7 linked regions of the Macaca fascicularis genome follow. The main gene of each other region encodes a partner of the protein of the gene in region 2 in a complex. Links are inferred from orthologs where the notes say so. Each region holds a gene or a part of one and is shown on either strand. Other genes may lie near its edges.

What was found.
Region 1: SNRNP200 (region 2) and GPKOW share a complex: the UniProt entries of both Homo sapiens proteins name them as parts of the minor spliceosome. The link is inferred for Macaca fascicularis from reciprocal best matches to the Homo sapiens genes SNRNP200 and GPKOW.
Region 3: SNRNP200 (region 2) and LSM2 share a complex: the UniProt entries of both Homo sapiens proteins name them as parts of the U4/U6-U5 tri-snRNP complex. The link is inferred for Macaca fascicularis from reciprocal best matches to the Homo sapiens genes SNRNP200 and LSM2.
Region 4: SNRNP200 (region 2) and LSM5 share a complex: the UniProt entries of both Homo sapiens proteins name them as parts of the U4/U6-U5 tri-snRNP complex. The link is inferred for Macaca fascicularis from reciprocal best matches to the Homo sapiens genes SNRNP200 and LSM5.
Region 5: SNRNP200 (region 2) and RBM48 share a complex: the UniProt entries of both Homo sapiens proteins name them as parts of the minor spliceosome. The link is inferred for Macaca fascicularis from reciprocal best matches to the Homo sapiens genes SNRNP200 and RBM48.
Region 6: SNRNP200 (region 2) and ARMC7 share a complex: the UniProt entries of both Homo sapiens proteins name them as parts of the minor spliceosome. The link is inferred for Macaca fascicularis from reciprocal best matches to the Homo sapiens genes SNRNP200 and ARMC7.
Region 7: SNRNP200 (region 2) and DHX16 share a complex: the UniProt entries of both Homo sapiens proteins name them as parts of the minor spliceosome. The link is inferred for Macaca fascicularis from reciprocal best matches to the Homo sapiens genes SNRNP200 and DHX16.

Annotation. Positions count from the first base shown.
Region 1 is NC_088395.1:49,285,877-49,289,893, forward strand, and holds the start of GPKOW (G-patch domain and KOW motifs-containing protein), read right to left. Parts: upstream 2,801-4,017; 5' UTR 2,780-2,800; coding exon 2,604-2,779; intron 1,839-2,603; coding exon 1,684-1,838; intron 1,585-1,683; coding exon 1,460-1,584; intron 1-1,459. UniProt on the Homo sapiens protein: RNA-binding protein involved in pre-mRNA splicing. As a component of the minor spliceosome, involved in the splicing of U12-type introns in pre-mRNAs.
Region 2 is NC_088387.1:1,362,617-1,366,116, forward strand, and holds part of SNRNP200 (U5 small nuclear ribonucleoprotein 200 kDa helicase), read right to left. Parts: intron 3,361-3,500; coding exon 3,252-3,360; intron 1,381-3,251; coding exon 1,272-1,380; intron 823-1,271; coding exon 633-822; intron 536-632; coding exon 371-535; intron 181-370; coding exon 59-180; intron 1-58. UniProt on the Homo sapiens protein: Catalyzes the ATP-dependent unwinding of U4/U6 RNA duplices, an essential step in the assembly of a catalytically active spliceosome. Plays a role in pre-mRNA splicing as a core component of precatalytic, catalytic and postcatalytic spliceosomal complexes.
Region 3 is NC_088378.1:139,906,455-139,910,382, reverse strand, and holds the start of LSM2 (U6 snRNA-associated Sm-like protein LSm2), read right to left. Parts: upstream 2,801-3,928; 5' UTR 2,638-2,800; coding exon 2,548-2,637; intron 2,207-2,547; coding exon 2,139-2,206; intron 1-2,138. UniProt on the Homo sapiens protein: Plays a role in pre-mRNA splicing as component of the U4/U6-U5 tri-snRNP complex that is involved in spliceosome assembly, and as component of the precatalytic spliceosome (spliceosome B complex).
Region 4 is NC_088377.1:97,812,674-97,816,614, reverse strand, and holds the start of LSM5 (U6 snRNA-associated Sm-like protein LSm5), read right to left. Parts: upstream 2,801-3,941; 5' UTR 2,632-2,800; coding exon 2,508-2,631; exon of another isoform or gene 2,499-2,507; intron 2,304-2,498; coding exon of another isoform or gene 2,211-2,303; exon of another isoform or gene 2,029-2,210; intron 2,005-2,028; exon of another isoform or gene 1,898-2,004; intron 1-1,897. Other genes in the region: late secretory pathway protein AVL9 homolog, read left to right, coding at 2,211-2,303. UniProt on the Homo sapiens protein: Plays a role in pre-mRNA splicing as component of the U4/U6-U5 tri-snRNP complex that is involved in spliceosome assembly, and as component of the precatalytic spliceosome (spliceosome B complex).
Region 5 is NC_088377.1:128,829,428-128,832,927, forward strand, and holds the end of RBM48 (RNA-binding protein 48), read right to left. Parts: coding exon 3,495-3,500; intron 1,705-3,494; coding exon 1,594-1,704; 3' UTR 1,294-1,593; coding exon of another isoform or gene 1,207-1,293; 3' UTR 398-1,206; downstream 1-397. UniProt on the Homo sapiens protein: As a component of the minor spliceosome, involved in the splicing of U12-type introns in pre-mRNAs.
Region 6 is NC_088390.1:81,488,916-81,492,897, reverse strand, and holds the start of ARMC7 (armadillo repeat-containing protein 7), read right to left. Parts: upstream 2,801-3,982; 5' UTR 2,508-2,800; coding exon 2,417-2,507; intron 2,334-2,416; coding exon 2,190-2,333; intron 1-2,189. UniProt on the Homo sapiens protein: As a component of the minor spliceosome, involved in the splicing of U12-type introns in pre-mRNAs.
Region 7 is NC_088378.1:141,982,697-141,986,623, forward strand, and holds the start of DHX16 (pre-mRNA-splicing factor ATP-dependent RNA helicase DHX16), read left to right. Parts: upstream 1-1,127; 5' UTR 1,128-1,295; coding exon 1,296-1,502; intron 1,503-1,621; exon of another isoform or gene 1,622-1,677; intron 1,678-2,912; coding exon 2,913-3,160; intron 3,161-3,243; coding exon 3,244-3,406; intron 3,407-3,742; coding exon 3,743-3,799; intron 3,800-3,927. UniProt on the Homo sapiens protein: Required for pre-mRNA splicing as a component of the spliceosome. Contributes to pre-mRNA splicing after spliceosome formation and prior to the first transesterification reaction.

The sequences.
Region 1 (4,017 bases), on a different chromosome or scaffold from region 2:
CCTCCCAAAGTGTTGGGATTACAGGCTCGGCCGACTCCAAGGTTTTTATGCTGAGTGAGAGGAAGGATGGATGGAATTTTTGGTCACCTGATATGTATAAAGCTGCAGGAGGAGGTTTATAGAGGGAAAAATTAGAGGAATGAGGTTAAAGCTGGAACAGGATGAAAGGATGAAGAGGGAAGTGAGGATCTTTTTTTTCTTTAAAGATGAAGGAGCTGGGCACAGTGGATCATGCCTGTAATCCCAGCACTCTGGGAGGCCAAGGTGGGTAGATCACCTGAAGTCAGGAGTTCAAGACCAGCCTGACCAACGTGGCGAAACCTCGTTTCTACTAAAAATACAAAAACTAGCCAGGCGGTAGTGACACGTGTCTGTAATCCCAGCTACTTGGGAGGCTAAGGCAGGAGAATCGCTTGATCCCGGGAGCGGGAGGTTGCAGTGAGCCGAGATCGTACCACTTCACTCTAGCCTGGGCCACAGGGCAAGACTCTGTCTCAAAAAACAAAAAACAAACAAACAAAAAAAAGTTGAAGGAAATCAGAGCACATCTGAAGGCTGAAGAGAACAGTTCAGTTGAAAGAGAGTGTTCTGGGGCTGTAGGAGAACTAGACTCCAAAGAAGCAATGCAAGAAATTTATGAAAGAAGAGGTGAAAAGTCAGGTCTGTGGGTATGAAAGACAGACTTGGTTACTCCTGTAGACACGCCTCTCACATCTCCTCGTCACCTTCCATCATCACTCCTTCCCATTCACTCCAGACACACCACATGTTGCCTCACTGATGGACACACACCACATCGATTTTCTGCCACTATGCCATTGCTTGGGCTGTTACTACCAACAGGAACACTCACTCTGTTCTTCCCTCTCACTAAACCCTACTTATCCTTCCAGACCACTCTGGTCTAAGTCCCCAGCATCTCTAGCCTGGACTACTCATCCCCTTGCTTCCACCTTCACTAATGAGTCTGTTCACAGCAGCCAGAGGGATGCTGTCAAATCATAAATCATATTTCATCTATGCTCAGGGCTTGCCTAGGCTCTCATCCCACTCAGAGTAAAAGCCAAAGTCCTCACAATGGCCTACAAGGCCCTGCCTTGTCTAGCACCCCCATCTCCTTTCTGACTTCGTCTACTATCCCTTCCCCTCACTCATTCCACTTCAGTCACACTAGTCTCTTTGGTGTTCCGCAAACACTCTAGGCAGTGTCTACCTTCAGGGCCTTTACATTTCCTGTTCCCTTTGCTGCACACCTCATTCAGATAATCCTAGGATTCAAGTACGTTTTTAGCATCCAGATATCCAGATTCATTTGGTAATGCTTCCAAAAAGGATGACAGGAGAAAGGACAGGTGGCGGGCCTCTAGCACACAGACTTTCCCTGCTATGTGCAGGGACAAAGCCTAGCAGACAGGGCAAAGAAAGGCTGGGGCAGGAGGGGGACAAGGGGCCAGCTCACTGTCTCTGCCCGGGGTTCGCTGTCTGCCCCTTCCCCGCTGGGGGTGCATCCTTTCTGGATCATGGGGATAGCGAGCGTGGGGTCGACACCCGCATTCTCTCTCTCTTCCAGAGACTTCTTGGATTCTAAGGGAAGAATAGGAGGGAGCAATGAAGTCCCACTCTATCCTTCCACCTTCTTCATCTTCTTCCTTCACTGGGGAAGGGTAAAGGGGCATCACTCACCCTCAATGAGCTCCTTCACAGCCTGGGACAGCACCCCATCTGCCAAGGCCTCAGTATCTGTGGATGGCCCAGGGGGCCGGGCTGGTGACTGCCTGCGATGGCCATTCTGGATCAAAGGGATGACGAGTTCCTTGGGGGCTTCCTGGGGCTTCACACTGATGTGGACACAGAGGGGTGGGGTTGGGAGAATGGCAGTGTCAGTGGGTCACACTCCTTTATTCAGAGAAAACACGAGAGCCAAACTCACCCCAGCCCCACAGACCATGCCTTCTCTACTCCATGTCTGGATCTCCTGTACCTCTCTGATCGTGCATTCTTTGGATTATCCCCCCCAGTGCCCCCAACTCGTAAATGTCAGTGCCTTCGAGAAATAAGTCCTGGACTCTCTGTTTAACTCAAGACCGGCTTCCACAATGGCCCACAAATCACTATCTTCAGCCTAGACCCTCCCTAGCTCCAGGTTCCCAAACAGCTTCCCAGATGCCTGATTCTCTTCTGGAAATCCCTCCCTCAGACTCTCCTCTCCTCATTAAGCTGATGGTGGCCTCCATCAACCTGAATCTGCCGCTCCATCCCGTTCCCCATATCAGAGAAGCCCCACCACTTCAGCTGAGACACTAGCAGGTCCTGTCATTTTCTCATTCTTTCCTTCTCCCAAAACGCACACACCTCAGTGTCCTCAAGTCCTAAAGACACTTCTTCTCAGTGATACATCCTCTCTTCGCAATTCCCACGGCTATCAGGCCCAATTTCCCCACCCCTCTTATAAACTCCAGCCTTCTGGCCTCCACGAATTTACTCAGGCTGTGCTTCAGGCTTAACAGGTCACTGTCACCAAGACAAACGACTGAGTGAGATTCCTCCCTCCCGCTTACGCCCACCGCAGCGATTTCCAAGGTGTGAAAGACCCGGCGCGTCACCTCTGCAGCTCCCTCCCTTCCACGGTTTTCAAGAAATCCTTCTCCTCCGGAGATGGCCTCGCGCCGTCTCCCGAGTCGGCCAGCCGCCTCCGTGCGGACGTGCGAGTGAAGCCGAATGAAATTGGGGCAGTGGAAGCAGCCGTCAGCGGCAAAACACCCTCTTCGGAGTCAGCCATCTTGCCCCTTTTCCCAGGCCTGCGCGCTGCTTGCTGGGAAATTTAGTTTGGGTTCAGATGGCTAGGGGCCGGCCAAAGTGCGTAAAAACTACCTTCCCATCAACCACTGTGGCACCGGCGGGAGGGGGCGGTAAGGGGCCGTGGGAAGTAATTGTCGCTCTTTCAAACGTCGTGGGAGTGCGTCGCGCCAAGTGCACAGGGAAATGTAGTTTTTTTTGTTTTGTTTTGTTTTTGTTTCTTTTTTTTTTTTAAAGATGGAGTCTTGCTCTGTTGCCCAGGCTGGAGTGCAGTGGTGTGATCTCGGCTCACTGCAACCTCTGCCTCCCGGGTTCAAGCGCTTCTCCTGCTGCAGCCTCCCGAGTAGCTGAGGCTACAGGCATGCGCCACCACGCCCGGCTAATTTTTGTATTTTTAGTAGAGACGGGTTTCACCGTGTTAGCCAGGATAGTCTCCATCTCCTGACCTCGTGATCCGCCTGCCTCGGCCTCCCACAGTGCTGGGACTACAGGCGTAAGCCACCACGCCCGGCCGGAAATGTAGTTTTTAGCGAGGTAGGCATGGTGGAAGGTGGATTCATTCTTGCCAGGCATTGATTCCTTCGTGTAGGCGTTTGACAAGTATTTATGGAGCGCCTACTGTGTGCCCTACTCATGTGGGAAGTGTTGATGAAGTAAATCATTTAGAAATAATCAGCCAGGTGTGGTGGCGTGCACCTGTAGTTTCATTTAGCCCACAGGCTGAGGCAGGAGGATGGCCTGAGGCCCAGGAGTTCGAGGATGCACTTAGCTCTTATTGCGCCACTGCATTCCAGCATGGGTGACAGAGCGATACCCCGTCTCTAAAAAAGAAAAAGTCAGGGTCGGGGGCGGGGGAAGGAGTGTCAGTTGTCTACAATAGTAAATAATAGACATAAAGTGCCTACTGGCCAGGCGTGGTAGCTCATGCCTGTAATCCTAGCATTTTGGGAGGCCTAGGCTGGTGGATCACCTGAGGTCAGGACTTTGAGACCAGCCTGACTCATATGGTGAAACCCTGTCTCTACTAAAAATACAAAAATTAGCCGGGCTGGTGGTGGCACCTGTAGTCCCAGCTACTCAGGAGGCTGAGACAGGAGGATTGCTTGAACCCGGGAGGCAGAGTTTGCAGTAAGCCGAGATCCCGCCACTGCACTCCAACCTGGGCGACAGAGCGAGACTCTGTCTTAAAAAAGAAAAAGAAAGAAAGAAAGAAAGAAAGAA
Region 2 (3,500 bases):
GGGCACACAGGCAGAGTTCGTTGTTCCCAGGACGTTCTCCTGAAGCTGCCGTCCTCACCTGCCTCAGCAGGTTGTCTTCATGGTGCCGGATGGGAATGTTCTCGTACTCTGCCGCATTGGAGATGATCTCGATGAGCCCTCGCACCTTGGTCTTGGCATTGAGGGACATGCTGAAGAGCTCTGACAGAAAAAGGACATTTGAGAGAAGCCGAAAGCAAGCGGAGAAGGAGCAGAACTGCCTGGGCTGCCCTGCTCTCCCCTGCAGTGTCATCCCGCTGACGGACACGGGCAGACCTCTCATCCCAGTGGGCTCCTGACCCCTGTGTGAGAAGGCTCCTACAGACAGGACCCGGGCCGTGCCGGGCCTCACCAATGGTGGTGTAGTTGATGTAATAGTAGGCAGCGATCATGCCCAGGTTCAGAGGTGCCACATCCATCTCGTCCTCGATGCTGATGCACTTGGACTGCTCCAGGTCACTCAGGGTCTGCTCCACCAGCTCTGACAAGTGGTCGGACAAGTGACGATGGGAGATGCCTATGGAGGTGAGAGGTGAGTGGGGAGCCTTGAGAAAACGCCCAGCAAAGGCTGTGGGAAGCACCAAAGAATCACGTGTGCTCCCAAGCCCACTGACCCTGCAGGTTGTAGTAATTGGGGTTCTGTGTCATGCGGCGGTACAGAAAGGTCCAGGTGAGGTAGTCCACAGCGTCCTGCTTGTTCTCAATGGTCTTGGTGACGATCTCAGCATTGAAGTGGTCATGCATACAGTGGTCCAGATGAGACTCCACTGGCAATGGCTCATATAAGAACTTCTTGAAGAAATCCTGTGGGTTGGAGAAGCAGCAGCATTAATCAAGAATTAGTGACAACATGGTCACAAAGGGCCAAGGGCAAATCAACAGGGCATGGTCCCCGTGCAAGACCTAACTAATACCAAAATGGAAGAAGCTACAGGTTTAGAAAGTGCGTCACTGGCGACAATACGCAGTGGGAACAGAGGCACAGCAAGTCACAAGGGCAGAGCAGCGGGCAGCCCAGTGAGGAAGGAGGGAACCAACTAGCGGGCAAAGCCCTCAACACGTGGAGCCAACGGCAGCAGCAAAAGCAAAAGGCAGCAAAATTCCAAACGGGTGGCAGGCTCGTTACAAAAGAATTGTGTAAATAAGAGAGACAGAAGTTAAGAGACTAAAATTACTGAAGACGTCTATCAAAAGGATTAAAGAATCCATTCTGAGGCTCTGGATCCAAGAGGCTGCATGAATCCAGGACTGACCTTCTTGGAGCCCTGACACATGATGACGCAGCGTCCCTCATCATCCTGCAAAGGGCGGTTGGCGTGACCCACCATCTGAAGCACGTCATAGATGGGGTAATCCACATAGCTGGTGACAGATGCGGGGAAAGAAGGAAAAGCCGCCTCAACACGGAGACCACGCTCAGGAGGCCCGACTCCCTTCGCCAATTAACAGTAAAATGTAAATACGGGGAGGCATGGTCAAATCACAGCACGACTCTGTTTATGAATCTCTGCACTTAGAACTGGCTTCACTGGCTGGCCTCTACATCATTTTAGCATTCAGTGTAAGGGCCATGAATTTGCTGCTCAAGTGCCATGAACCAAGCTACAAAACTATCTAATGCCAAAACCAAAATAACTTCCTATTCGAGGATCAAATATGTAAGTCAAACTTCCCAAACTTTTCTCCTTTAATTAAAAAAATTATTTATTTGTTTGTTTGTTTTTTGATAGAGCATCTTGCTCTACTGTCCATGCTGGAGTGCAGTGGCACAGCCACGGCTCACTGCAGCCTTGACCTCCTAGGCTCAAGGGATCCTCGCACTTCAGCCACCACAGGTGCGCACCGCCGCACTTTCCAAACTTCACAGCTGTGCATTTCATGAGTCATCAAGTCACCTGACTTTAACCCAACCTAGAAGCAGCCTCAAACATTAAAAATGAACCCGTAAATAAAATTCACTTCAAACTAATCCGCATTTCGGGAAAAAGTTATTAAGCATTGGGCCAGGCACCATAACTCACGCCTGTAATCCCGGCACTTTGGGTGGGTGAATCATTTGAGCTCAGGAGTTCAAGACCAGCCTGGGCAACACGGTGAAAACCCATCTATACAAAAAAAAAAAAAAAAAAAAAAAAAGCAAAAGTTAGCTGAGAGTGGCAGCACATGCTGGTAGTCCCAGCTACTTGGGAGACTGAGGCAGGATGATTGCTTGAGCCTGGGAGGCAGAGGCTGTAGTGGGCCGAGATCATACCACTGCATTCCAGCCTAAATGACAGAACAAGATTGTCTCAAAAAAAAAAAAAAAAAAAAAAAAAAAAAAGCAGATGTTTTTCTGAGAATGATTGACTCTTCTAACTTTTTTTTTTTTTTTTTTGAGATGAAGTCTCGCTCTGTTGCTCAGACTGGAGTGCAGTGGCGCGAGCTCGGCTCACTGCAACCTCCCCCTCCCGGGTTCAAGCGATTCTCCTGCTCAGCCTCCCAAGTAGCTGGGATTACAGGCGCGTGTCACCACACCTGGCCTTTTTTTTTTTTTGAGATGGAATCTCACTCTGTTGCCCAGGCTAGAATGCAATGGCACAATCTTGGCTCACTGCAACCTCTGCCTCCCAGGTTCAACTGATTCTCCTGCCTCAGCCTCCTGAGTAGCTGGAAGCACAAGCACGTGCCACCACGCTCAGCTAATTTTTATACTTTTAGTAGAGACGGGGTTTCACCGTGTTGGCCAGGCTGGTCTGGAACTCCTGACCTCAAGTGATCCGCCTGCCTCAGCCTCCCAAAGTGCTGGGATTACAGGCATGAGCCACCGCGCTCAGCACTCTTCTAGCTTCTTGTCAATCCGCCTGCCTCAGCCTCCCAAAGTGCTGGGATTACAGGCATGAGCCACCGCGCTCAGCACTCTTCTAGCTTCTTGTCACTATATAGGTGTATGACCTTGACCAAGTCGCTTTTCCTAATCTACAAGATGTTTGAGGTTAATGACCTAATGTCAAACATTCCTCCTGGCGCTAACTGCCTACCTCTCCCAACTGCGGAATGTGGAAGCACAATGACTAAAAAACAAATGTGAGCCTAGGTATTGAGACACAAAACTCCTAAATACTTGGCTCTGGTGGCATCTCAGCTGTTAACTTCCCTAACACCTTTCCTTCATCCTAGCTTGCTTTCTGTGTGTCTGCAGATTCACACTCATTTTAGGAAGATCTGGGCTAACACAGACCACCAGCTGTACTCACGCGTGGATCTTGCCATTGTAGTACTGGGTGTCCATGATGATTACCAGGTGGGCAGCCACGTTCATGCCCCAGCAGAGACTCCGAGAAGCCACCACCACCTGGATAGCCCCTGAGCAGAAAAGGGGAGAGAAGGCTGAGGACAGGGGTCTCTGGGTGAAGCAGGTTCACTACCTCATGGGCAGGCCGTGGCTTACCCTGTGTTACGTTTCAGAACTCACAGCAAGGCGGGCTAGGAACAAGGTCTAACAT
Region 3 (3,928 bases), on a different chromosome or scaffold from region 2:
CTGCTGGGGAGGCTGAGGCAGGAGAATGGCATGAACCCGGGAGGCAGAGCTTACAGTGAGCAGAGATCACACCACTGCATTCCAGCCTGGGCGACAGAGCGAGACTATCTCAAAAAAAAAAAAAGAAAAAAGAAAAAGAAAAAAGCTGGACATAATCATATTTCTGTTCTGTATCACTTACTAGTTTTGTAGACTTGAACAAGTGGTATAGCTGATCTAAGCCTCAGTTTCCTCATATGTATAACAGCAATAGTACATATTACTAAGGAGTGTTTGAGAAATCAATCAATAAATGTATTCAGAATAGTGCTTAGTCAATAGGTCTTCAGATATTATTTTTCTTTCCTTAAGCACCTATCATACAACTGGCCTATACTAGGTATTAGATACACAGTAGCATATCTAATACGTAGGTTTCACCATGTTGGCCAGGCTGGTCTCAATCTCTTGACCTTGTGATCCACCCACCTCAGCCTCCCAAAGTGCTGGGATTACAGGCATGAGCCACCATGCCCAGCCTATGGCCTGTTCTGTTTTTTTGTTTATTTTTTTGAGATGGAGTCTCGCTCTGGTCGCCCAGGCTGGAGTGCAGTGGTGCCATCTTGGCTCACTGCAAGCTCCACCTCCTGGGTTCATGCCATTCTCCTGCCTCAGCCTCCCAAGTAGCTGGAACTACAGGCGCCCGCCACCACACCAGGCTAATTTTTTGTATTTTTAGTAGAGACGGGGTTTCACCATGTTAGGCAGGATGGTCTCAATCTCCTGACCTCGTGATCCGCCCATCTCGGCCTCCGAAAGTGCTGGGATTACAGGCGTGAGCCACTGCGCCTGGCCTGGCCTGTTCTTTTTTGAGACAGTCTTCCTCTGTCACCCAGGCTGGAGTAAAGTGGTACAATCATGGCTCACTGCAGCCTCGACCTCCTGGGTTCAAGTGATCCTCCCACCTCAGTCTCCCGAATAGCTGGGACTACAGGCATGTAAACCACATCTGGCTAATCTTTTATAGAAATGGTTCTATGTTGCCCAGGCTAGTCTCGACATCCTGGACTCAAGTGATCCTCCTGCCTCAGCCTCCCAAAGTGCTGAGATTACAGGTGTGAGCCACCATGGCCAGCCTAGTACTTACTCTTTATTTATTTTTTTTGAGACAGAGTCTCACTCTGTCACCCAGGCTGGAGTGCAGTGGCGTAATCTCAGCTCACTGCAACCTCTGCCACCCAGGTTCAAGCGATTTTCCTGCCTCAGCCTCCCAAGTAGCTGGGATTACAGGCACCTGCCACCATGCCTGGCTAATTTTTGTATTTTTAGTAGAGACGGGGTTTCACCATCTTGGCCAGACTGGTCTTGAACTCCTGACCTCGTGATTCACCCACCTCGGCCTCCCAAAGTGCTGGGATTACAGGCATGAGCCACACGTCCAGCCCATGAGCCACCACACCTGACCAGTATTTACTCTTTAAACTGTATATTGCTTTGTATTGTTTTCCAATACACAATACAATCCCCAAGCTTATCTGTAAATTTAAGGCACAAGGCATTTATTTATTGTTAAATTTTAAAATTTGTCTTAGAGATGGGGTCTTGCTCTATTGCCCTGGCTAGAGTGCAATGGAGTAATCACTGCTCACTGCAGCCTCAAACTCCTGGGCTCAAGCAATCCTCCCTCCTCAGTCTCCCAAAGTGCTGGGATTACAGGCGTGAGCCACTGCACCCCACCCATTTATTTCTTTTGTTTGTTTGAGACAGAGCCTCGCTCTGTCACCCAGGCTGGAGTGCAGTGGCGTGATCTGGGCTCACTGCAAGCTCTGCCTCCCAGGTTCACGCCATTCTCCTGCCTCAGCCTCCAAAGTAGCTGGGACTACAGGCGCCTGCCACCATGCCTGGCTAATTTTTTGTATTTTTAGTAGAGACAGGGTTTCACCGTGTTAGCCAGGATGGTCTTGATCTCCTGACCTCGTGATCCGCCCACCTCAGCCTCCCAAAGTGCTGAGATTACAGGCGTGAGCCACCGCACCCGGCCATTTATTTCTTCTGTACATATTCCACCTCACCCAGCCCTCAAATATTTCTCAAATTAAAGAGGTTCCAGGGCCCTGGGCACACCCACCCCCAACAGACTTGTTGGAACAGGTACCTACCTCAGGTCATTCTTGAGTTCCACGACCACATCCTTGCCCACAAGGGACTTGAAAAAAGAATAGAAGAGCTATTGGGAGAGAGGGGGAAAACCATCATGTGGGAAGGAACATGGTAGGGAGGAGTGTCCCTTGACAGTATTACCAAATACCGGTATTGTGAACCCCATTGCATCCCTAACAGTTCTCAAAATTTCACAGGAAAGAATAATTGGTTGAGAGGTGAAAGGCTGGAGCCCAAATTATTCTGCACACTGCATTGAGCCCATCACTTAAAGTCCCAGAGAGGCTCTGCCCTGCATACCTCGGCCTCCCCAGTGTGCTCTCTCAATCGACCACCTTTCTCGGGTACCTGCCCACTCCTTTCAATGAATTACAGAAAACATCCCACCCGCACCCTGCCGAAGCTTGCCTGGCAGAGAAGTGCTCTAAGGTCTAACTTTTCCGTCTCCCGCTGTCCCCACTGAATCTCTCTCAGGGTTGGGGTTTTTTTCCTCATCATGGAAAAAAAAATCCCATTTGCTCTCAGGTGTCTCCTCAACGAACTTGAGGAACAGGACTAACGATGAAGATAAAAACTCCGGACCTAACTCCAGCCTAGGGGGACAAAGGCCAGACCCCCCTGCCCCAACCGTCCGAGATCCCCGAGGGCGACCCCTTTTGACGTCACGGTACCCACCATGGTGCTGGCGCAGCGGGCAGCGGGCCGGAGCGAGAAAAGAGCCGGATGCTGAGACCAGGTCTGGGAGAACCGAAGCGCGAGCCCGCGCGTGGGGCGAGGCGGGACCGCGCAGGCGCAGCGGGAAGGGACGCAGAACCCTCCAAGCGCTGAAGGGTAAAGCGCGGCCGACTTGCGGCTGGGGAGCGCAAGCTGGGTAAAACCGAGGGGAGGAGGAAGCCGGGAAAGGGGCGGGGTTTCCTTCGTTCCGACTTCTTCCAGGGCCGGCCGGCTCCCATTGCGCAGGCGCGGACCCTAGCCTGGGCTGCTAGGCGGGTGGAGGCACTCGGCGTCTGAGCTCAAAAGGTTTTGTTTTCCATAACCCTGCCGTCCACAGCGTGATGTGTTCGTGCCCTCTACACACATCCTATCGAGAATTGTGGGGAGTTTGTGAAGATTATGAAGTGTGCACTTTTCTATATTTGTTAAAGTAAAAACATAAAATTCAAAAAATAAAATTAAAAAATGTTTTTAATCTTAAATTCAGCTGATAAAAAAAAAAAAGGCCGAGGGCGGTGGCTCACGCCTTCAATCCCAGCACTCTGAGAGGCCAAGGTGGATGGATTGTGTGAGGTCAGGAGTTCGAGACCAGGCTAGCCAACATGGTGAAGTCCCGTCTTCACTAAAAATACAAAAAAAATTAGCCAGGCGTGGTCGCGGGCGCCTGTAATCCCAGCTACTCGGGAGGCTGAGGAAGGAGAATTGCGTGAACCCGGGAGGTGGAGGTTGCAGGGAGCCAAGATGATGCCACTGCACTGCAGCCTGGGCGACAGAGCGAGACTCGTCTCAAAAAAAAAAAAAAAATTGGCCGGGCGCGGTGGCTCACGCCTGTAATCCCAGCACTTTGGGAGGCCGAGACGGGCGGATCACGAGGTCAGGAGATCGAGACCATCCTGGCTAACACGGTGAAACCCCGTCTCTACTAAAAAATACAAAAAAATAGCCGGGCGAGGTGGCGGGTGCCTGTAGTCCCAGCTACTCGGGAGGCTGAGGCAGGAGAATGGCGTGAACCCGGGAGGCGGAGCTTGCAGTGAGCTGAGATCCCGCCACCGCACTCCAGCCTGGGTGACAGAGA
Region 4 (3,941 bases), on a different chromosome or scaffold from region 2:
GATGGGGTTTCAACCATGTTGCCCAGGCTGGTCTCCAACTTTTGGCCTCAAGTGATCTGCCCGCCTCGGCCTCCCAAAGTACTGGGATTACAGGCATGAGCCACCGTGCCTGGCCCTGTTTTTGCATACATCTTTTTTTTTTTTTTTTTTTTTTTGAGAGGAAGTCTCGCTCTTGTCCCCCAGGCTGGAGTGCAATGGCGCAATCTTGGCTCACTGCAACCTCCGCTTCCCAGGTTCAAGCAATTCTCCTGTCTCAGCCCTCTGAGTAGCTGGGATTACAGGTGCCTGCCACCACGCCCGGCTAATTTTTGTATTTTTTAGTAGAGATGGAGTTTTACCATGTTGGCCAGGCTGGTCTAGAACTCCTGACCTCAGGTGATCCACCTGCCTTGGTCTCCCAAAGTGCTGTGATTACAGGCGTGAGCCACCACGCCCGGCCCTTATAGATATCTTTAAAAGGTGTTCATTAGACAGTAATTTTAGCCATGTTAATTGTGGAAAATACCAAGACAGTTTATATCAAGAAAATGTTAATAGTTAACACATCACACAGTTGACATCTCAAAACAGTTAATATATTAAGAAAACAGTTAATATATTCTGCATACAGGGAGCAATATAGTTTTACAGTTTTCTGAGCCAATGCCAATAATTTTGTAATACAGAAATGTATAGCAACATCTTGAAAAATGTCTACAGTATTAGCATTAAAACAGTTCTACTGAATCACAGAAACTAAATTTGATTTAGGAAGCCTACTGTTTTTCTCCGCTATGCTTAGATTAGAACAGAGCTCCTTATTTTTCAAGACCAGAAGTGCAAAATATCATAGTTACTGTAGTAATCTCTAATTCTACTTGAAGCAGACTCCTATCCTTTAGGTTATTTGAAAACTGTCGTAGATAAGACTTGTTAAATCTGCTAGTGTTTCTAGAATGCACTTTAAATTGACATGATTCACTGCTTAAAAAAAAAAAATTGCAGTACAGTCAGTAATTAAAAAACCCTGGTGACAACAGAACCCATATATTTTGTATTGACCTTCCTTCCTCCCACTCCACCAAAGCAGAAGCTAAAAACCTACAACCTACACATATCAACCTGCTCCTCCGCTGCTCATAACCATTTTTCAGGCGCAGAAGGAAGGGGTTGTGGGGGCTGGGCTTCATGTGGGGCAGGTGGGAGGAGTTGCAAAGGAGTCAGGTTGAGAGGCTTGGACTCTGCTTTCAAGGTAATAGGCTCAGAGTACTAAACCCAAAAAGAGATGGAATGAAAATAATACTCTTTTAAAATCGCAGGACTAGAATAACCATTTTACAGGTATCCAAGTAAACTTCCTTTATTGTCAAGGATATTCGGTTTCAGGTTTTAAATGCGTCTCAGATTGCTACACATAATATTTAAATGAAGGGGAAAAAAGCTCTAGAAACAAACAAACAAGAATTCTCGGGTAAGCAAGTAATTTAAAGGCTGAATACACAGATACGCAACCTCACCAGTATGCTCCACGTTATTACATATTTGAGAATAAGGACGGAGGCCACAGAGGCAAAGGCAAGGAGGTGAAGGAATCGGACACTCGGAGAGTGAATCGAAAAGATGTGAAAAAGCAAGGAAAACAGAAAAGAAGAGGGAAGGGGGAAAACTTTAAGGAGGAAAATGAGAAGGCAAAAGAGAAGGAAGTGCTTTGAGATTGAATCCAGGGAGGAAAAAGCAGGTGTGCCACGCCGCACCTCCAGGTCCCGCGGACACTACAGGCTCCGCAGGCCCAGCCGCCCGGGTCACGTAAGCCCCACCCCGCTGCTCCACGTCAAGGCCCCCTCCGGTCCCCCCCCCGACCCCCCGAACCCCCGACCCCCCGCCCCCGTCCAGTCGATCGCTTTTTTCCTAGCCCCACCTAACTCCCCCAGGCTCCACCTCGGTCTCTCAGAACCCCCAGCCGTCAGGGCCCTCCCGGCCTTGCCCCGCCCCGCCTCGCCGGCAGCTGCCGCCGCGTCAGGTGACAGCCCGGAAGCTGCGGAAGCGGATGAGAGAAGGGCGGCCGCGGCCCTGGGGGCGGGAGCTGCTCTCCCTCCACAGATCTCCCGGTGCGGCCCTCATGTGCTGCGCTCGCTGACACCCGAAGTCCGCGGCTCTCCGCACACGGTGGGGTCGTCAGACCCGCTGCCCTTGGCAGTCGAAGTCGTAGTGTGGGCCCGCGGCGGCCGCCCATGGAGAAGGCCAGGAGAGGCGGGGATGGCGCCCCCCGGGGGCCCGTACTGCACATCGTGGTTGTTGGCTTTCACCATAAGAAGGGCTGCCAGGTGAGGAAAGGGCCCGCCCCCGCCCCCGGCCGTTCGGGCGTTCGCGCCTCCCGGCGCCCCCTGCCTTCCTTCTGTGTTCCCAGCTCGCGTCGTGCAGTCCTCCCCACCGCGCCCGCGACCCTTCGCCTCTCAACCTGACTCCTTTGCAACTCCTCCCACCCGCCCCACATGAAGCCCAGCCCCCACAACCCCTTCCTTTTGCACCTGAAAAATGGTTATGAGCGGCGGAGGCGCAGATTGGTATGTGTAGGTTGTAGGATTTTAGCTTCTGCTTTGGTGGAGTGGGAGGAAGGAATCGAAGACCGGCCCCACTCTCTTCCCCGTCCATTATTGTCTCCACTGGCTTTCTGGGTGTCCACCTATAATGGGAGTCTAGAAAAATTCAGTGCTTGGACTCTGCTTTCAAGGTAATAGGCTCAGTGGGCTTGCATACTAATACTTCAGGTAGCTTGCGCACCTGCAGCCTCTGTAGAAAAATCAGCTTCCTTTGTTTATCTGATGGAAGCCTTGGAATCTGTCGTGTTAAGTACGGTTGTCGATTAACCCTGCCTCCCCCTTCCCATTGGTCCTTAGTTTTGCTATTTCATCTTCTCCGGATTTTACCTTTTGGTGAGAGATTAATCTCTCCAGATCAACCGCAATAAGAGAAAGCGTATTACCGACCAAACCGTTCAAATATAAAGGTGTTTTTCAGCAGCCTCATTGAATCTTTAATCCATCATCTGAAATGGAATATTTGCGATCTGTATATTGAAGGCAAGAGAACAAAATAGAAACAGGATTATCTAATGAGCAAGCAAACACTGGAAGGGAATGATGTCATAATGTGCTAGTGAACAGTAAATTGAAATGCTTTTTTGAAGTATTAAAAATAGTAATGGCCACCACTAGCTCATGAAGCGTTTAGTTTCTTGCATTCCGCAGGAAATGTAACATTTTAGAAGACGTATTGGCAAAAATTAAGTTCTCTAGGGAATAACAGAAAAAGTGATGGGAGTGAAAAAACTGTGCGTAATTTTGAAATATATCCTCACACCTGTAATGGCAGCACTTTTAGAGACTGATATGAAAGGATCACTTGAGCTCAGGAGTTTGAGACCAGCCTGGGTAACAAAGGGAAACTGTCTCCACAAAAAATTTTAAAAATTAGCTGCATGTGATAGCGCACTTGTAGTCCCAGCTAGTCGGGAGGCTAAGTTGGGAAGATCTCTTGAGCCCAGGAGGCTGAGGCTACAGTGGCCCTTGATCCCACCACTGCACTCCTGCCTGGATGAGAGAGCAAGACCCTGTCTCAAAAGAAAATTTTGGCGCCGGGTGCGGTGGCTCAATTCTGTAATCCCAGCACTTTGGGAGGCCGAGGCGAGTGGATCACCTGAGGTCAGGAGTTCGAGACCAGCCTGGACAACATGGTGAAAGCCCCGCCTCTACTGAAAATACAAAATTAGTTGCACGTGGTGGCACATGCCTGTAATCCCAGCTACTTGGGAGGCTGAGACACGAGAATCGCTTGAACCCGGGAGGCAGAGGTTGCTGTGAGCCTTGCACTCCAGCCTGGGCAACAAGAGCGAAAAAAAAAAGTTTTGAAAATTGTGTATTACGTGCATAAGTCTTATAATGACTGGTCTAGAATCTGTTCTT
Region 5 (3,500 bases), on a different chromosome or scaffold from region 2:
GTCTGCGGCTTGTCCTGCTACAAGTAAATCATAGCTGAAACAGAACCTTATTAACTGGTATGTTCAAATTCAATCTACTAGGCAAGAGGCCATTAAAGATAGGGAGAAATGAAAACAACATGCCATGGTATGGACCTTCTCAAGTTATTTTTACCGGTAAAGAAAATGGCCAGGTGTAGTGGGTCACACCTGTAATCCTAGTACTTTGGGAGGCCAAGGTGAGTGGATCACTTGAGCCCAGGAGTTCAATACCTGCCTGGGCAACACAATGAGACCCTGTCTCTACTAAAAAGAAAAAGAAAATGGAGACAGCCTAGATGTACTGAAATTTCCAATTATGTGACCCACTGACAGAAAAAAGTGTGGATATGCCAGAAGCAGTAACAGAAGTCTAAAATTTATAAATACTGATTTATTTTTGGATTGCCACAGGTCAAGCAAATTCTTCTTAAAAGTTAATGAAAGCATATAAGATTCTAATTTCAGCTTTGTTCTAATAGTTAATCTACTTTTTACCTCACAGACTGTCTTGATTTTGAAATCCTGGCATTCGGAAACACCCTGACTTCTAGTGTTTCAATGGCTCATTCAATACTTGTATTATAATCAGAAACAGATGCTGGTTGCCTATCGTTATTGTAGTTTCCATATTTGCTTCAATTAATTTACATATAATTACTGTACATGAGAGGTAATGTTATGACAAGAATAGTTTCTGCAACATTAAGTATGGGTCGAAAAAAAAAGAAATGGGCCAGGCATGGTGGCTCATGCCTGTAATCCCAGCACTTTGGGAGGCCGAGGTGGGAGGATCACGAGGTCAGGAGTTCGAGACCAGCCTGACCAATATGGTGAAACCCCATTTCTACTAAAAAAGCACAAAACTTGGCCAGGAATGGTGGTGTACGCCTGTAATCCCAGCTACTCAGGAGGCTGAGGCAGGAGAATTGCTTGGACCCGGGAGGTGGAGGTTGCGGCGAGCTGAGATCATGCCATTGCATTCCAGCCTGGGCAAAAGAGCAAGACTCCATCTCCCAAAAAAAAAAAGAAAGAAAGAAATGACTTTAGATAAATAGCTTGAATGAAATTACAAAGAGGAGTGCATTAAAAAATACCAGCAGTAAAATCTCTAGAAGAATTAAAATGACAGGCTAAAAATAAATAATAAATGTTCTTTTCAGGAAGTACTAATTTGCTGCTGGCACTCTATATTCTTCTTCTTTGTTTTAATGGATGACTTGTATGTACATCTTCCGGCTTGTCCTCTGGATGCTTTGGCACAGATGAAATTACCTAATTAAAAAAAAAGAACCATTAAAATTTAGTTTCTATAGCACAGGAGTAAAGCTATTAGAAGAGGTAAGACTACATCCAATAGTTCAATCCTTGATGCGGCTTTTGAGGCAGAGTTGGCTTAAGTTCAAGGTCCAGCCTATGACCTAGGCACAGAGTGAAGTTTTCTGTTCAAACACTGATGAGAGTAAAATTTCTAAAGCTACTTAAAAAGAAAAAAAATTTGGAGGAAGAAAAGTGAACATATGCTCCACTTTAACATTCCTTTATAGATCTAAAGTCACTTGTTATATTACAGATTCAGATAGATATCCTGGTTTTGCATTCTTGAAACACTGATAATGTTTGATAGATTTGGGGGGATGAAAACATTTGGAGAAATGAGCAGGAAGCAGTATAATCCTCAATTTCCTAGGAGAAAAAGGAAAGGCAAACACACTATCAGAGAGAGTGTACAATAAGCCAAAGCAAAGAGTCTTCATTTGAAATGGAAAATTATTAGAAACTATAGTAAACTGTATTTAACATTTTTTTTTTGTTGTTCTACTATTTCTGGACCTAGAATTTGGACTTCACACGTTTTTCTTTAAAATGTAATCAGCTCTGGCTGAGACAGCTGCGTATCTATGTCTATGCCTCAGTTCAGCTGCAACTGAAGGAAGGAAGGAAGGGTGGAAGCACAAACTGAAAACCTTTTTTTTTTTTTTTTTTTGAGACAGGGTCTCACACTGTCACCCAGGCTGGAGTGCAGTGGCATGATCTTGGCTCACTGCAACCTCCGCCTCCCAGATTCAAGTGATCCTTCCACCTTAGCCTCCCAAGTAGCTACAAGAGTGCACCACCACGCCTGGCTAATTTTTGTATATTTATGGTAAAGATGGGGTTTCATCACATTGGTCAGGCTGCTCTCAGACTCCTGGGCTCAAGCAGTCTGCTCACCTCAGCCTCCCACCTCAGCCTCCCAAAGTGCTGAGATTATTGGTGTGAGCCACTGTCCCCAGCCTAAACTGAAAAACTAAAGGCGGCTTCAAAACTGTGCCCATGGATTTTAATTATTAATAAATAATGCCTCTTTAATCAGATGTTTTCAGGTAAAAAATGTACATATAAGAAATTAAGCTACCTGAGCCTCCCTTAATCACATTGTAAAATACGAGTAAAACCATGTGAAAAGCACTTTCTGCATCTTGGAGTAAGTATAAGAGAATGTCATAACCCTCAGTTTATGATTTGTAATAGTAGCCCCTACCCCATCCCACAAAAAGGTGTCTTTCGAAAGCTAACTCAGATGTTAACTTTATTTGTGCTTAGGAAATGGAAAATGATTATATAAATGACATAAAAAAAAAAGACTACCTAGGCAGCACAATCTGATCCTGATCATTTAAGAAGTCTACATTTGAGGCCGGGCGTGGTGGCTTATGCCTGTAATCCCTGTAATCCCAGCACTTTGGGAGGCTGAAGCGGGTGGATCACGAGATCAGGAGATCGAGACCATCCTGGCTAATATGGTGAAACCTCGTCTCTACTAAAAAATACAAAACACTTGCCCTGGCATGGCGGCGGGCACCTGTAGTCCCAGCTACTTGGGAGGCTGAGGCAGGAGAATGGTGTGAACCCAGGAGGCAGAGCTTGCAGTGACCGTAGATCCTGAGCGACAGAGTGAGACTCTGTCTCCAAAAAATAAATAAATAAATAAACAAATAAAATAAAATAAAGTCTACATTTGAAATGCATACCTAGAGGCCCAATTTTTAGAAATCTCACCTTCTATTGCTCTTTATCACAAAAGCAAATTAAGCATTTTACTTTGATATAAACTGTAATAACTCTAAATCTGAGAGAAATGGAATTTTCCTTCTCAACTTTGGCTCATATTAGAACTACTTGGGGAGCTTTTAACAAAAATGGCAGGCCTGGGCACCACTCTCACAGATTGATGTAATTAGCTGAAACCACTGCTTTAATATTTTGTATCTACAGTGATATAAAATGTCTGTTCATTGTTTAAAGCAAGTATTAACAGTTCAAAGCAAATAAAATGTTAGCCAAATTCAGTTATTTCAACAGAGAACTATAGAAAAACACATCAAAAAACTAAAAAGTGAAAAAAATTACAATACTATTGTTCCCACAAATAATTCCCCATTTAGTCCTATAACCAAATCGTCTCTTAGAACAGTTTTTAAAAATAACCTTACCTCTTT
Region 6 (3,982 bases), on a different chromosome or scaffold from region 2:
TGTTATGAAATGAGGGTCTGTTTAGGGTTACAAGCGATTTATCTCTTGGGGCCAGGAGTTCAAGACCAGTCTGGGCAAGACGGTGAGACCGTGTGTCGACAACAAATTAAAAAAAAAAAAAAAAAAAAAAAAAGCCGAGTTCGAGACCAGTCTGGGCAACACAGTGAGATCCTCTCGAAAACAAATTAAAAACAAAAAAAAGCCGGGCATGGTGGTGTCCACCTGTAGTCACAGCTACTCGGGAGGCTAAGGCAGGAAGACTGCTAGAGCCCAGAAGTTTAAATTTATGGTGAACTATGATCACACCACTGTACTCCAGCCTAAGTGACACAGTGAGACCCTATCTCAAAAAAAAGAAAAAGATTTAAGATAATTTATGTAGTGACTTCCTTCCAATGGGTATAATACATAATACGTAAAGAGGGGAAAGAAAGAGTAATTTTACAGTGGAGAAGCCTGACAAGACTTCAGCCAGGTGATCACACGCGTGTTGCCCAGGCTGGAGTGCGGTGGCTATTTACAGGTGCAATCATGCAATCGTAGCACACTACAGCCTCAAACTCCTGGGCTCAAGCGATCCTCCTATCTGGGGCTACAGATGAGCACTGTGCATGGCTTGAAACAGGGATTTTTGTTTGTTCTCAAAATTTTGTCTGCTTCAAACTATTTCCCACGGCCTAGATCTAAGCTCCGGCAAGCTCTGGTGCCGCTTAACTCTCTATCCTCTTTTTGTGCCATTCTCCACTTCACTATAACGATCCTGCCACATTCATCTTCCTTCTGGCTCCTTCCTGTTTTAAGGCCTTTGCCCATGCTGTGTCCCTGCTAAAATGCCTTTCTCATGATGGCCAAAACGGAAGTAACCACCACCTTCTACTGCTGTTTCTCATCACCCCATTTATTTGCTGCTGAGCATCATCTTTTTTGTTTGCTAACCACCTGTCCCCCCTACTAGAATGTAAGCTCCTGAGGGACAAACACTTTCCCTAACCTGTTCACCATACTCCAGCATTTAGAGCAGTAGTTTACATATACGGTACATGCCCAGTAAATATCTGCCCAGTGAATAAATCAATAGGTCTTAAGATCATAACTACAAAAGAAGCCGTAAGTTACAGACTGCAAGCCATCTCTGCTTCTCCTGATATGAAAACACTAAATATGAGTTACTTTTGTTTCTAAGACAGATTCTCATTCTGTCACCCAGGCTGGAGTACAGTGGCCCAATCCCAGCTCACTGCAGCCTCGTCCTCCCAGGCTCAAGCAATCCTCCCACCTCAGCCTCCTGAGTAGCTGGGACACCACGCCAGACTAATTTTTTTTTTTTTTTTTTTTAGCAGAGATGGGCTTTTGCCAGGCCGGTCTTGAACTCCAGGACTCAAGTGATCTGCCTGCTTCGGCCGCCCAAAGTGCTGACATTACAGGTGTGAGCCACCTCACCCACCTGAAATTGTTGTTGTTTTTTTTTTTGAGACGGAGTCTCGCTGTTGCCCAGGCTGGGGTGCAGTGGCGCCACCTCGGCTCACAGCAACCTCTGCCTACCGGGTTCAAGTGATTCTCCTGCCTCAGCCTCCCGAGTAGCTGGGATTACAGGCGCCCGCCACGCCCGGCTAATTTTTGTATTTTTAGTTAGAGACGGGGTTTCATCATGTTGGCCAGACTGGTCTCGAACTCCTGATCTCAGGTGATCCGCCTGCCTCGGGCTCCCAAAGTGCTGGGATTACAGGCGTGTGCCACCGCGCCTGGCTACAAAACTGCTCTTTTTAAAACATCTTTTTTTGAGACATGGTCTCACTCCGTCGCCCAGGCTGGAGTGCAGTGGCGCAGTCTCAGCTCACTTTGGCCTCTGCCTCCCGGACTCAAGCAATCCTCCTGCTTCGGCCTCCAGAGTAGCTGGGCCTACAGGTGCACACCACTGTGTGCGGCTAATTTTTGCTCCCGCTTAGCTGGGATTACAGGCACTCGCCACCATGCCCAGCTAATTTTTGTACTTTTAGTAGAGACGAGGTTTTGCCATGTTGGCCAGGCTGGTCTCGAACTCCTGACCTCAGGTGATCCCCCCGCCTCGGCTTCCCAAAGTGCTGGGATTACATGTGTGAGCCACCACGCCAGGCCCCAAGGACTCACTTGTAACTCACTTATCTCACCCCGGCCCATTTAGCCATCTAGCGAACGGGCCCAGCCCTTACCAATAGCAAACTCAACCAGGGTCTCGTTCTCCTCCGACAGCGAATCGAGAAATAAATCCAGGACCTGCAGCTGCCGTAGATACTCGTAGTTGCTGGGGTCATAAGCGAAGTTGGCGAGGTTGGCGAGGACTTGCTCCTTGGCGTCTGCAACGGGAAAGCGGCACTGGAGCCAGGTCCGGGCGGCGGTCACAGCCGACCCTGTCACCTGGTCCCACCGTGGCTCTCACCTTGGCTCTGGGTCTCCTGGAATTCCGTGACCAGCGCCTGCAGGTATCCCAAACGCCCGACGTGGGGGTCCAACTTCGGCTTCTGGGCCATGGCCGGCGTGACGGAGGACCCCCAGGGACGGGCGGGCGGGTGGCAAAGGTGCAGGGGGAAAGCCGAGCGAGACCCTCACCCACTCTCCACCTGTCTGGCGAGGGAAGACGCGGGGACGGCAAATGGGTTTCTTTCTTGGGTTCAGACTCTGCAGTAATTTGCAGCTGGAAATGGAATGTGGGGAGATGGGCCGGGGTCTCAGAATCCTGTAGGAGTTGGGTCTGAAAATCGAAATTGGGGCGCGGGAGACAGGGAACCGTCTGCGGGTTGGGGCTGGCGGAGTGGGTACTGGCGCCCAGCCCCCGGCTGCCGGGCTCGGTTCCAGGCTCCCGGCGGAAGCCGCGCTGTCCCCACCCTACAAGGCGCGGAAGGGGCGGGACGAGGCAGGCGAGGGGCGGGGCCGTCGCCGAACTCCTTGGCGCGCGTGCGCGGCGCGCTTTCGGTTTTCTGGCTGCGGAAGCTCTTTAGCCTGCGCTGGAACCCGCTGCGACACGCTTCGCCGAGGGAGGTATGGGCGTGGGTGGGTGTACTGCGAGGAGCAGCCTTGTCTCCCATATCCTATGTCCAGCTGCAAATTATTGCAAAATCTGAACGCAAGAAAGAAACCCACTTGCCGCCCCCGCCAACAGGAAGGCGGGTGAGGGCCTCTCTCGGCTTTCCCGCCCCACCTTTCCCACTCTCCCGCCCGGCCCCCCGGGTCCTCCGCCGCCCCGACGTGGCCCAGAAGCCGAAAGTGAGGCACCCATGTCGGGCGGCTGGAATGACGTGAGGAGCAACTCAGGAGCGCAACGGAGTCTGGCAGCACCCATGTTGGGAGGACGTCGAGGCAGAAGCACCTCCAGGATCCCCATGGCTGGCGGGGCGCGGCCCAGCCTCCTTGACCAGGACGCCCCTTTAGAGCGCGGGCGTCAGCTCCTTACCCACCCCCATCAGTCTTTTGACCCTTTTGCAAAAAGCGTAGCGACCCCGACCCGTCCTCTATCCCAGCCCCGAGGTGAGTCCGCCACCTCTGGACAGAAATCAAAGGGGACGGGGTCATGTCCTGGTGCTTTTTGTCAGCCGGGTGGATGGCGCGCGCCCGGGGCAGCACCGGGGAGCCCGAGGAAGAGCCTTGTTTGTGGCGCTTTCGGGGCTTTCTGGATGCTGAAGCCCTTCGGCCGATTCCTTCTCGAGGATTCTCGGGAAGCAGGTGTGTGATGGATTACTACTCGTGGTTACAGGGAACAAAGCACCAGGGAAGGAGGTGGCCTTACTACACTCCCATCGCGTTTGACAACGTAGGGGTAGAGAGGTGGCTTAGGCTGTGAGTGTCCTGAGAATGCAAAAGTTGTTAATCTAATTGGAGTCACTTGTGTTAAAAAAAAAACAGAACAAAAAAACCCGGACAGAGTCGGAGAAAACCATGACAAGAGGGTTCTCATGCATAAATATCTGATAATGAAAACTATCACAAAGATTCTGCAAAAACCCCAACC
Region 7 (3,927 bases), on a different chromosome or scaffold from region 2:
AAAGATTCTCTTGTCTCAGCCTCCAGAGTAGCTGGGACTACAGATGCACACCTCCACACCTGGCTAATTTTTTGTAGAGATGGCAGGGTCTCACCATGTTGCCCAGGCTGGTCTCAAACCCCTGTTCTCAAGAGATCCTCCTGCCTCAGCCTCCCAAAGTGCTGGGATTATAGGAAGAGCCACTGCACCTGGCCTTGCTTACTTTTAAATAAGCAGCCACCAGTGATTTTCTCAAGATGTTAGCAAAAATGCAGAAAACAGTTTGCCTGTTCCTTAGTTTGGAGATTTTGTCTTTAACAATTTTCCCCAGTTCCCCAGTTTCTTCCTGCCTAGAGGTCTTCCCTTATGCCTGACCTGTCTTCACTCCTGCTGCAGGCAAACCAATCCTAGCAAAGGTCACTTTTTTGTTTGTTTGAGACAGAGTCTTCCTCTGTCGCTCAGGCTGGAGTGCAGTGGTGGGATCTCGGTTCACTGCAAGCTCCGCTTCGCAGGTACAAACGATTCTCCTGCCTCAGCCTCCCGAGTACCTGGGGCTGCAGGCGCACGCCACCACACCCGGCTAATTTTTATATTTTTAGTAGAGACAGGGTTTAGCCATCTTGGCCAGGCTGGCCTCGAACTCCTGACCTCAAGTGATCTGCCCGTCTTGGCTTCCCAAAGTGCTGGGATTACAGGCGTGAGCCACCGCGCCCGGCCAACACGGCTAATATGCTTCATGAGCATGGACCCCATCTTCCAATCTGAAATAGAATTTCGGTTGTCCCTTACTTTGTAGAGTTTTTGGCTCTATAAAACTTCCATACTTTATTTATTATGTATCCTGTCCCTCCCCCACCGCAAAATGTAAATTTGGTAAGGAACTTTTGATTTGTCCTCTGCTAGATCCCAGCGACGGAAAGCAATGAGCACACATTAGGCCTCCATTAAATTGATTTCACTTGTTGAATGAATGCGTTAGGGAAGCACTCACGAACTGACCATCAGGGGGCGTCAGAGAAACTGGATAGAGGCGGAAATGAAGAAAAAAGAATTACTCCGAACTTTCAGGCATGGTTCCGCGAGGTTTGAACTCGCTCGGCCACCGTAGTGCTTAGAGGCCGGAAAAAGTGCAGCCCCTTCCGGGCTTTGCGGTACCGGACGACGGCTTTGGGATGTCGGAAATTGATCCTAGAGGTCCCAAGGTAGCCGCCTTGCGAAGCTGAGGCTCCAGCCGAGGGCTCCAGGCCTCCGACCGGCCCAGCAGTGAACGGGGCTGCCCGACGCTTCAGGGCTGGGAGCAGGGAGCGTGGGTCGCCATGGCGACGCCGGCGGGGCTGGAGCGCTGGGTTCAGGACGAGCTGCACTCGGTGTTGGGGCTGAGCGAGCGGCACGTCGCCCAGTTCCTGATCGGTACTGCACAGCGCTGCACGTCGGCCGAGGAGTTCGTGCAGCGCCTACGAGACACTGATACTTTGGATCTCAGTGGACCGGCCCGGGACTTCGCCCTGAGACTCTGGAACAAGGTGTCGGCAGGGTGGGGAGGGGTCCTGTGATTTGTCCCGATGAGGCTGGCCTAACGGTCCATCGAGGAGTTAAGAAAGCTCAGTTCACAAGCACTTATTCTTTGTCCGTTGTCGCCTAGGTACTGTGCTAGCTGCTGGACGCCCAGCTCAGTGGAGAAGATTGAGGAGGGCTTAGGTGTGTCGGGTTAAACGCAATAGAACGGTGTTTTTCGAACTCTTAACATGCATCCAGGGCCCTTGTTAAAATGCAGATTGCGATTCAGTAGGGATCTTAGTTTCTGCATTTCTTTCTTTTTCTTTCTTTCTTTCCTTTTTTTTTTTTTTTTTTTTTTGAGAGACACAGCCTCGCTCGCCCTGTCGCCCAGGCTGGAGTGCGGTCATAAGATCACGGCTCACTACAGCGTCGATCTCCCTGGCTGAAGCGACCCTCCCATCTCATCTTCCCCAGTAGCTGGGACTATGGGCATGCGCCACCACCCCCGGCTAATATCTTTTATTTTTATTTTTATTTTTAGAGACGAGGCCTTGGTGTGTTGCGCAGGCTGGTCTCTAACTCCTCAGCTCAAGCAGTCCTCCTCTCTCAGCCCCGCAAAGTGCTGGGATTACAGGCGTGAGCCACCTTGCCCGTCCCCCCTCAGCTTCTGAACTTCCTTTCAGCCGTTTAATTAACAGAGGAGGCCCGGTGCAGTGGCTCACACCTGTAATCCCAGCACCCCAGAAGGCTGAGGCAGGAGGATCATTTGAGCCCAGGAGTTCGAGACCAGCCTGGGCAACATAGTGAAACCTCCCTACAAAAAATTTAAAAATTAATTGGGCGTTGTAGTGTGCACCTGTGTTTCCAGCTACTTAGGAGCCTGAGGTGGGAGGATCACTTGAGCCCAAGAGGGACAGAGTGAAACCCTGTCTGTAAAAAAAGCCAAAAAGCTGTGGGCCCCATTCAGGATGATAAACATGGGGTGAAGCCATGAGGAAGACAGAATGAAGGCTGGTTAGCTGGTTTAAAACTAAGTAATTGTGCCCGGGTGCGGTGGCTCACGCCTGTAATCCCAGCACTTTGGGAGGCCCAGGCAACTGGATCATGAGGTCAGGAGTTTGAGACCAACCTGGCCAACATGGTGAAACCTCATCTCTACTAAAAATACAGAAATTAGTCAGGTGTGGTGGCAGGCGCCTGTAATCCCAGCTACTTGGGAGGCTGAGGCAGGAGAATTGCTTGAACCTAGGAGGTGGAGGTTGAAGTGAGCCGAGATCACACCATTGCACTCCAGCTCCGGGTGACAGACCAAGACTCCATCTCGGCGGGCGGGGGGAGACTAAGTAATTGCTTAAATTAGGAACAGAGCTAGAGCTAAGTGGGAGGGCAGAGATCAGGAGTTGCTCAGACCTCCTTATCTTCCCCTCTACTGACAGGTACCACGAAAGGCAGTGGTAGAAAAGCCAGCGCGGGCAGCAGAGCGAGAGGCCCGAGCCCTGCTGGAGAAGAACCGATCTTATAGGTTGTTGGAAGACAGTGAAGAGAGCAGTGAGGAGACTGTGAGTAGGGCTGGAAGCAGCCTCCAGAAGAAACGTAAAAAGCGGAAACACCTCAGGAAGAAGCGTGAGGAAGAGGAGGAAGAAGAGGAGGAAGAGGCTTCTGAGAAAGGGAAGAAGAAAACAGGGTAAGTCAGAAGCAGGGCGAGGGAGGATGGGGCAGGCTGAAGTGTGCTCAATGCCCTTATTTAATCCCCTGGATGGGCTGCAGGGGGAGTAAACAGCAGACAGAGAAGCCAGAGTCAGAAGATGAGTGGGAACGGACAGAGCGTGAGCGCCTTCAGGACCTGGAGGAGCGTGATGCCTTTGCTGAGAGGGTTCGACAGCGGGACAAGGATCGGACTCGAAATGTCCTGGAGCGGTCAGACAAGAAGGTGAACAGGAGCAGCACGTTCTGTAAATCCCCAAGATCCCAGGGTGAAATGTGAGGTTGGCTGTGATTGCAGAGATGGTGATCTCTGGGAAGACAAGGGGCTTTCTCTAGTGAGATGTTCCCCTCTGTGGGGAGAGATGAGGTGAGAGAAGCCCTGTGCATCCTGTGGCTAAGGCAACTCTACTGTACCTGCAATCATACAGATCCCTCACTGAGAGGGGACATTTTTTGTGTTAGGGTACATCTGAATGATCCTTGTGATTCTAAAGAGGAGCAGCTGTCAGTGTGGGGGCTCTTTGGCCTCACACCCCTCTATTCTTGTTTTTTTTTTTTCTAGGCTTATGAAGAAGCTCAGAAGCGCCTCAAGATGGCCGAGGAAGACCGGAAGGCCATGGTGAGTCCCAGGGCCCAGGGACCCAAGATCAGAAGACAAAAGGGAAGACCGTCTGATAGAGTGGTTACGTATAGGGAGAGAGAATACAGAGGAAGCACGGTGTGGATGCTGATGGAGTGGTCAGGTCT